Kluyveromyces lactis: one gene and its partner. The protein of the gene in region 1 interacts with the protein of each later gene in a pairwise test. Links are inferred from orthologs where the notes say so. Each region holds a gene or a part of one and is shown on either strand. Other genes may lie near its edges. The genes, in order: SNF2 and HMT1.

Region 1 (4,343 bases):
AGACATAACATTTATAGAGAGTTAAGAATCACAGAATGGGAATGAGGGAAAATACCCGAATTATAATGGGTTAACTAAGTCCTGTTTTAGAACCGTTCCTGGTGGTCGCAAAAGAAAAAAAAAAAAAAAAAAAAGAGAGAGAGAAAGAGAAGCACAACTTAATTTCACCTCGACATCTTATGATATGGTAATTAGGAAAAAAAAGTACTACTGTCGGATTGATAGAGAATAGAACAGAATTGATTACTTAACTAACCAGTTTTGATCCCGTCTAATTCCGCAATCAAATACGGTCATGTATCTTGTCAACGTAAAAAAAAAAAATTGGAATTAGCTTTTGCCAAATGAGTGGGGCAAATAACCTCGTACACATACATAGAACATGAGATTAACACAGAGAAAGGCAGCTTTTCTTTTCAAAGACCATTCTCTAATTTCCAATTTCCCCTTCCTTCTCTTCCATTTCCTATCTGGTACAGCTACATAACATATAACGTAACATAGCAAAAACCCCCCTACCGATGTGTTCAGTTCCGAGAGAGACGGAGAATGAGTATTTAATCTACTCTACTAGTCACACTACTGCCTGCACTAGTGAACGATCAGAAATCAAAAGCCTAGTTGCACAGGGCAACAAATGATGTAGAAATAGAACAGAGAAGTGATAGAATCGGTGGAAAGAAAGAATAAGCAGAAATAAAAAAAAGAGGTATCCACACGTTACTTCCTATGCATCTAAGGCCCGGCACAGAATCAGCATAGCAGCAAGTCATACTTAGTCTTACCTCAGTCTCTAATTCACTCTCTGTGCCTTTCTTGTTTCACTTAATTTCTCACAAGACGAATGGGATGGGGGGGGGGGGGGTCTGTCACTATATCCATTCAATCCATATCAGATTCCACTGTACACTTGCATGTACTGCGCACATCCCTAAAATGTATATCCATATCTATGTATCTTATATACACACATGCAGCACGTCATCTTGTATATTCCGCAGCTATTGTCCAGTTCCATCCCGACATACTCTTAACGCCTCAAACGTATGTCTTAAACTTGCCTTAAAGTGTGCTTTAAACCCATGTTTTAAGCCCCAGTGCCAGTCAAAATTCACACAGAAAGCATGATTACAAAAGCGAATAATTTACACAAAAAAAAAATTTTTTTTTGTGTTACGCTGTAAAACATAAACAAAATAACTTTAGTAAACGGAAACGGAGAAGGGAAATAAACACAGAAAACAACAGAACCGTTGTGCATACAGGCTTTGCGTGTGTTTAAGGTAACTTCCTTCGGTTGGTATTTTACTTTTCGGATAGTCTGCAGTGCCATATCGTCGGCGGCTAAGCAGTACTTTTTCTGTTTTTTGTTTATCCTTTAGCTTCGGCTTGAATTAAGAATTGCTTTGCTCTCTTTGCTAGTGACAAGCGTTTTTATTACTGGTAATAGTATTAGTATTAGTGTTGCGATAGGCCTGTTTTGGCAATGGATTTAGAGTTCAGTCCTCCCAGGAGGGAATATACGCGTGAAGAGATTAATCGTTGCTACCTGCGGTGGCAGCAGCTTCGTAACGAACATGGTGCGAATGTCGAGTCTATGAAGGAGTACCAGTACTATACGGCTGTGTTGAGGATGGCTGCCAGACAACAGCAGCAGCGACAACAACAACAACAACAACAACAGCAGCAGCAGCAATTGCAGAATGCAACAACAGCAGCAGCAGCTAGTTCGGCTTCGCCGAATAACATACCGACTCCGTCTGCTTATACCCCTGGCAGTAATGGTATGGGCCCTGTAGCAGCAACAGCGGTACCACCACCACATATGTCACCACAGGTAGGACCTCAGCCGATCGCGCCGGCTTCTGGTCTAACAGTAGGAGTGAATACGCCAGCTAGCACCAATTCTAATTCTAATTCTAATTCTAATAATAATAATAATAATAATAACGCGTCATCATCACGGTCTTTGTTCACAGATGAACAGTCGCTCTTGTTGAAGGCACAGATCCAATCTCTTAAGATGATGGCTAACCACATGGTCGTACCACCAGAGATTATGATGGTCATTGATCGGTCTTTGACCAATTTACTGGATTTCAAATCCATTCTACTGGCGTTGAGTGCCGATTTACAAGCTCATAATGCTGGCCAGCAGATGCAACCTCCAGTACAACAACAACAACAACAACAACAACAACAGAATAATGTACCGCAGCAGAAGCTTTCGCCTCAGGTACGCCAAGGCGTGAAGAAACCAGTACAGAAGGTTCGTCAACCCAAAAAGGGTAAGGTGGAATCACCAGTAGCAGCAGCTTCGCAACCACTTGTACAAAATAACATGCCTGCTCAACTGGTAAATACCACGGCAAATATAAACCCAGCTTCTCCTATAGTGACGTCAGAACCCACTCCTATGGCAGTTCAGTCCCCAATGGTGGAACCTTCGCGCCCTATTTCTCCTCCTATTCCGGACCAGGACCCCCCAAAACAAGAACCTCCCGCTCTTTTATCCACATACAAGAAGCAACATGAAGATATAGAAAAGTACATCGACGTAGCTTCACCGCATATTATGGTGGATTGTTTCTCGTACCCAGAACAAGGCGGCATTCCAGGCTCCACACCGTTGGTACCACCAATTAGTTATACGGATCTTCTTAACCAACAAAATCTTTCTATCACCCCCAGTCTGTTACCCGTTGGTCTGGATCCAAGGTCTGCTATGGAAACTTACCAAACTCTCATCGCTTTGGATTTAGATACATCACTGGATTTTTGTTTGCAACAACTATTAGAATCAGATTCTCAAGTAAAGGATAAAGGGGAATTGATTATGGACTATAATGCAATGCAGTTACTTCCTTTACAAAAAGCTATTAGAGGTTATGTATTGTCATTTGAATGGTATCAAAGCACACTTCTCACTAATATTCATCCTAACTTTTTATCCAAAAATCGTGGTTTAAACATTCAAGATGCTTTGTTGACTAGAGAATTGTTTAAATCACGAGAATTACAACAGTACGAAAAACAACAACTTGAAAAATCTTCTAAATTGAATTCAATCTTGGACCGTTGTAAATCGATACATGATTTGAGAATAGATAAAAAAGCTCAGCGTGTTAAGTTAGGTCACAGGTTGATAAACTTACACACGAACTTGGAAAAAGAAGAATTGAAAAGAATTGAAAGAAATGCCAAACAACGTTTGCAAGCATTGAAAGCTAACGATGAAGAAGCATATATTAAGTTGTTGGATCAGACAAAGGACACAAGAATTACGCATTTGTTGAAACAGACTAACACTTTCTTGGATTCTTTAACCAAAGCTGTTAAGGATCAACAGTCTTTCACTAAAGATAAGATCGAATCTCACCTTGACACTCAGGAACTTAGCGAAGACAACGTGGGTGATAAAAACGGAGCAGACTCTGATGATGACTTGGAACGTGAGAGAATCGATTATTATGAAGTTGCTCATAGTATCAAGGAAGAAGTGAAACAACAACCATCCATCCTTGTAGGTGGTACTTTGAAAGAATATCAATTGAAAGGTCTACAGTGGATGGTGTCTCTTTTCAATAACCACTTGAACGGTATCTTAGCAGACGAAATGGGTCTAGGTAAAACTATTCAAACAATTTCTCTTTTAACCTACTTGTACGAAGCTAAGGGGGTCCATGGTCCATTTTTAGTTATTGTTCCGTTATCCACTTTGACCAACTGGAATGCAGAGTTTGATAAATGGGCACCTAAGTTGCGGAAGATAGCTTTCAAGGGTCCTCCAATGGAACGTAAACCTAAACAAGCGTTAATCAAAAATCGTGAATTTGATGTAGTGTTAACAACCTTCGAATATATTATCAAAGAGCGTCCATTACTTTCTAAGATAAAATGGGTTCACACAATTATTGATGAGGGTCACAGAATGAAGAACGCTCAATCTAAGCTTTCTTTAACTTTGAACACATATTATCATTCTGATTATCGTTTGATTTTGACTGGTACCCCTTTACAGAATAATTTGCCAGAACTATGGGCCCTTTTAAACTTCGTTTTGCCAAAAATTTTCAATTCTGTGAAATCTTTCGATGAATGGTTCAATACACCGTTTGCAAACACTGGTGGTCAAGACAAGATAGCATTGAGCGAAGAAGAAACTTTATTGGTCATTAGAAGATTACATAAGGTACTCAGACCTTTCTTGCTTCGTCGTTTAAAGAAAGATGTTGAAAAAGATCTTCCTGATAAAGTAGAAAAGGTTTTGAAATGTAAGATGAGTGCATTACAACACAAATTATACCAACAGATGTTGAAGCATCGTAGGCTATTCATTTTTG
Region 2 (3,061 bases), about 120 kb from region 1:
ATGGGAGAAGTCTCATAAGTTCTATCTAAATCTGTTGATAAACTTGTTTCTTCCTCGTCAGTTGAAGTGAAATTGTCCTCATCGCTTAACTCATTGTCTTTTTTATTCAAATGTCGCCTCGCCAAGGCTTGAAATTTCCCATAGTGACCATAAACTCTCGTCTTCATTTATCAGAACCTCCCAATGGGCTTTGTTGGTTTGCTTCCCCTTGTTTTCTTTGTTGTAATTTGTTCGCGTCTAAACAGTATCGTTTCACGTTAAAGTCCTTAAATTTTACGTGTTTTCCTCAAAGCGATTTCAATCTAGAGAAGAGAAAAGCTATGAACAACTTTTACAGAGATAACACAGAGGGAAAAGAACGTGCTAAAAGACCTGGAACTGGATTCAAGTCATTGGTTTTGATTATCATTGCCATAGTACCGAAAATGTACGGAGATCTCGCTAACAAGTTGATACTAGAAGCAAAGAGAACGCAACAGTTATCTCAAGCTGGATTCAACAAACAGCAATTACCAGTATATCAAGACGAGCTAGTCCGTGGCATCCTGAAAGAGGTTGGATCCCTCAAGAAGAACGTGGATTACCTACGAGAACAGCAGCTTACTGATCAGGATAACAAAGTCGCTCAATGCCAGTACGTCGTTGCTATGCTTTCGATGGAAAGAAACAAAAGATGTCTATTAGCATACCAAAAGATGAGAAGTGAGATGCTAGACTCAATGGTTTGGGATAACAACGGGATGGAATTTTCTTCTGCCATATCAAACCACCCGAATCTATCATCGTTTGATTCCTCTGTTTTATCACATGCAGAACAAGAGTATCTCAAAGAGTATGCACAACTACTTACCGAATTGAAATCGGGAGAACTCTCAGAAATCGATTTGACTGGGATGTTACAACCGCCGAGCGATGTGTTCATCGACGTACGAGTATTGAAAGATGCAGGACAAATAGAAACAGAGTACGGTGTATTCAACCTGATTAAAGATTCCCAATTTTTCGTCAGACAATCCGACGTCGAAAGACTTATACAACAAGGATATCTGCAGAAGATATAGCAAGGCAGCTTTTTTCGCCGAATTCTGCACCTTTCATTGCAATTCTGTAGATATCATTGCTGGTGATATTGCTGATGCAACCGTTCCAAATGCAACTAACTAGCTTTACCTCACTTTCACTATGGGGAATGCACGATTTCTTTTTGGATTTCTTTTTCTTGCAGCTCATCGCCTTCAAAAATTTTTCAGTTTTGTATTTAAGGCAACGAGGCATAAGTAACAGAACAGTACTTGATCTGGAACCAACTTGTTAGAACGGTTATTGGTTTGATTGCATTGAGTATAGTGTACAGCTTATTGGGATATAATATTTGTCACCATACATATACCAAGACTTGTGTTTCATCTTTAGTCTAATTGTTGAGCATATCTTTCCTAATTGTAAAGCTAATAAAATAAAGGATGTCCAAGACTGATGTCACTGATTCTGCTACGCAGAAAAAAGAATTGAACGAGTATGAACAACACTATTTCACCTCTTATGACCATTTCGGTATTCATGAAGAGATGTTGCAAGATACTGTGCGTACGCTTTCGTACCGTAACGCTATAGCCCAAAATAAGGACTTCTTTAAAGGTAAGGTTGTCCTAGATGTTGGATGCGGTACTGGTATTCTATCTATGTTTGCTGCAAAGAACGGTGCTAAGCATGTCATTGGTGTTGATATGTCTAGTATTATTGAAATGGCTAAGCAAATTGTTGAATTGAATGGTCTTTCAGACAAGATCACTTTGTTACGTGGTAAATTGGAAGACGTTGTGTTGCCTTATAAGAAGGTTGATATCATTATTTCCGAATGGATGGGTTACTTCTTATTATACGAATCCATGTTGGATACCGTGTTGTATGCACGTGATAACTACTTGGTCGAAGGTGGGTTGATCTTCCCTGACAAGTGTTCCATTCACATTGCTGGTCTTGAAGATTCTAAGTATAAGGGCGAAAAGCTGAACTTTTGGCAAGACGTTTATGGGTTCGATTACTCACCATTTATCCCATTGGTGAAAAGAGAACCTTTGGTCGATACAGTGGAAAACAGTTCTGTTAATACTACCAAATGTAAATTAATCGAATTTGATCTTAATACAGTGACTATCCCAGATTTGGCATTCCACAGCAAGTTTAAATTGCAGGCAAAGAGACAAGATTTCATTAATGGGTTGATTTCATGGTTCGATATTGAATTCCCAGCACCAAAGGGTAACAAACCTGTCACTTTCTCCACTGGTGCCCATGCTACATACACCCATTGGAAACAAACCGTCTTCTATTTGGAAGACGATTTGGAATGTGAAGCTAATGATATCCTAGAAGGTGAATTGACCTGTTTACCAAACAAAGATAACAACAGAGATTTGGATATCAAGATCGTGTACAATTTCAAGGCCTCTGGTCCAGACGGTAAAGAAAGGTCAAGAAAGGGTACCAACACTTACTTGATGCATTAAAATAGTAGCTATGTTGTTTTTCTTACTCAGTCCATTATTTGGGGCCCTTTTTACGTAAACTATTCGTTTACTATTCCCATTGAGGCTCAGATCACCTTCAGATTATGTTTATTACTTGGTTAATTCTGAAGGAATGCAGCTCTTTCAACCTTTCAATGCCTTCGATTCCATTGTGAACTTCACTATTATCATTAACATTAAGAAACAAAGATAAAATAAAAAGGAAATGAAAGCCCCTCTCGCAATTCCAAGCAGTTTGTAACAGTACTTAGCAACCACACCCAATTATTTCCTGCTTAGGCTTCAAGATTATATAATTCTCTATGTATTATATTTTGCAAATTTGATAAGCATTATAGACAAATGTTCACTCCGCCTCTTGCAATAAGAAAAAGACAACGCTCGCTAAAACAATGAATGATTTGAGAGACGCTACATAGAGATATATACGTAGAAACTAATTTTAGTCTATAAGCAGAGCTCAAGCTCTCTCACAACAAGATTGTTTTGGGATTGGGAAGAAGTAGCAATTGAATACAAAAAAATATATT

What was found.
Region 2: the proteins of SNF2 (region 1) and HMT1 interact in binary tests that used the Saccharomyces cerevisiae proteins (3 or more experiments, as listed by UniProt). The link is inferred for Kluyveromyces lactis from reciprocal best matches to the Saccharomyces cerevisiae genes SNF2 and HMT1.

The regions. Positions count from the first base shown.
Region 1 is NC_006038.1:740,719-745,061, forward strand, and holds the start of SNF2 (SWI/SNF catalytic subunit SNF2), read left to right. Parts: upstream 1-1,486; coding exon 1,487-4,343. UniProt on the Saccharomyces cerevisiae protein: Involved in transcriptional activation. Catalytic component of the SWI/SNF complex, an ATP-dependent chromatin-remodeling complex, which is required for the positive and negative regulation of gene expression of a large number of genes.
Region 2 is NC_006038.1:616,905-619,965, forward strand, and holds HMT1 (protein-arginine omega-N methyltransferase HMT1), read left to right. Parts: upstream 1-1,463; coding exon 1,464-2,510; downstream 2,511-3,061. Other genes in the region: RAD61 (Rad61p), read right to left, coding at 1-167; DNA replication protein PSF1, read left to right, coding at 426-1,061. UniProt on the Saccharomyces cerevisiae protein: S-adenosyl-L-methionine-dependent protein-arginine N-methyltransferase that catalyzes both the mono- and asymmetric (type I) dimethylation of the guanidino nitrogens of arginine residues in a variety of RNA-binding proteins such as heterogeneous nuclear ribonucleoproteins (hnRNPs) and small nuclear ribonucleoproteins (snRNPs).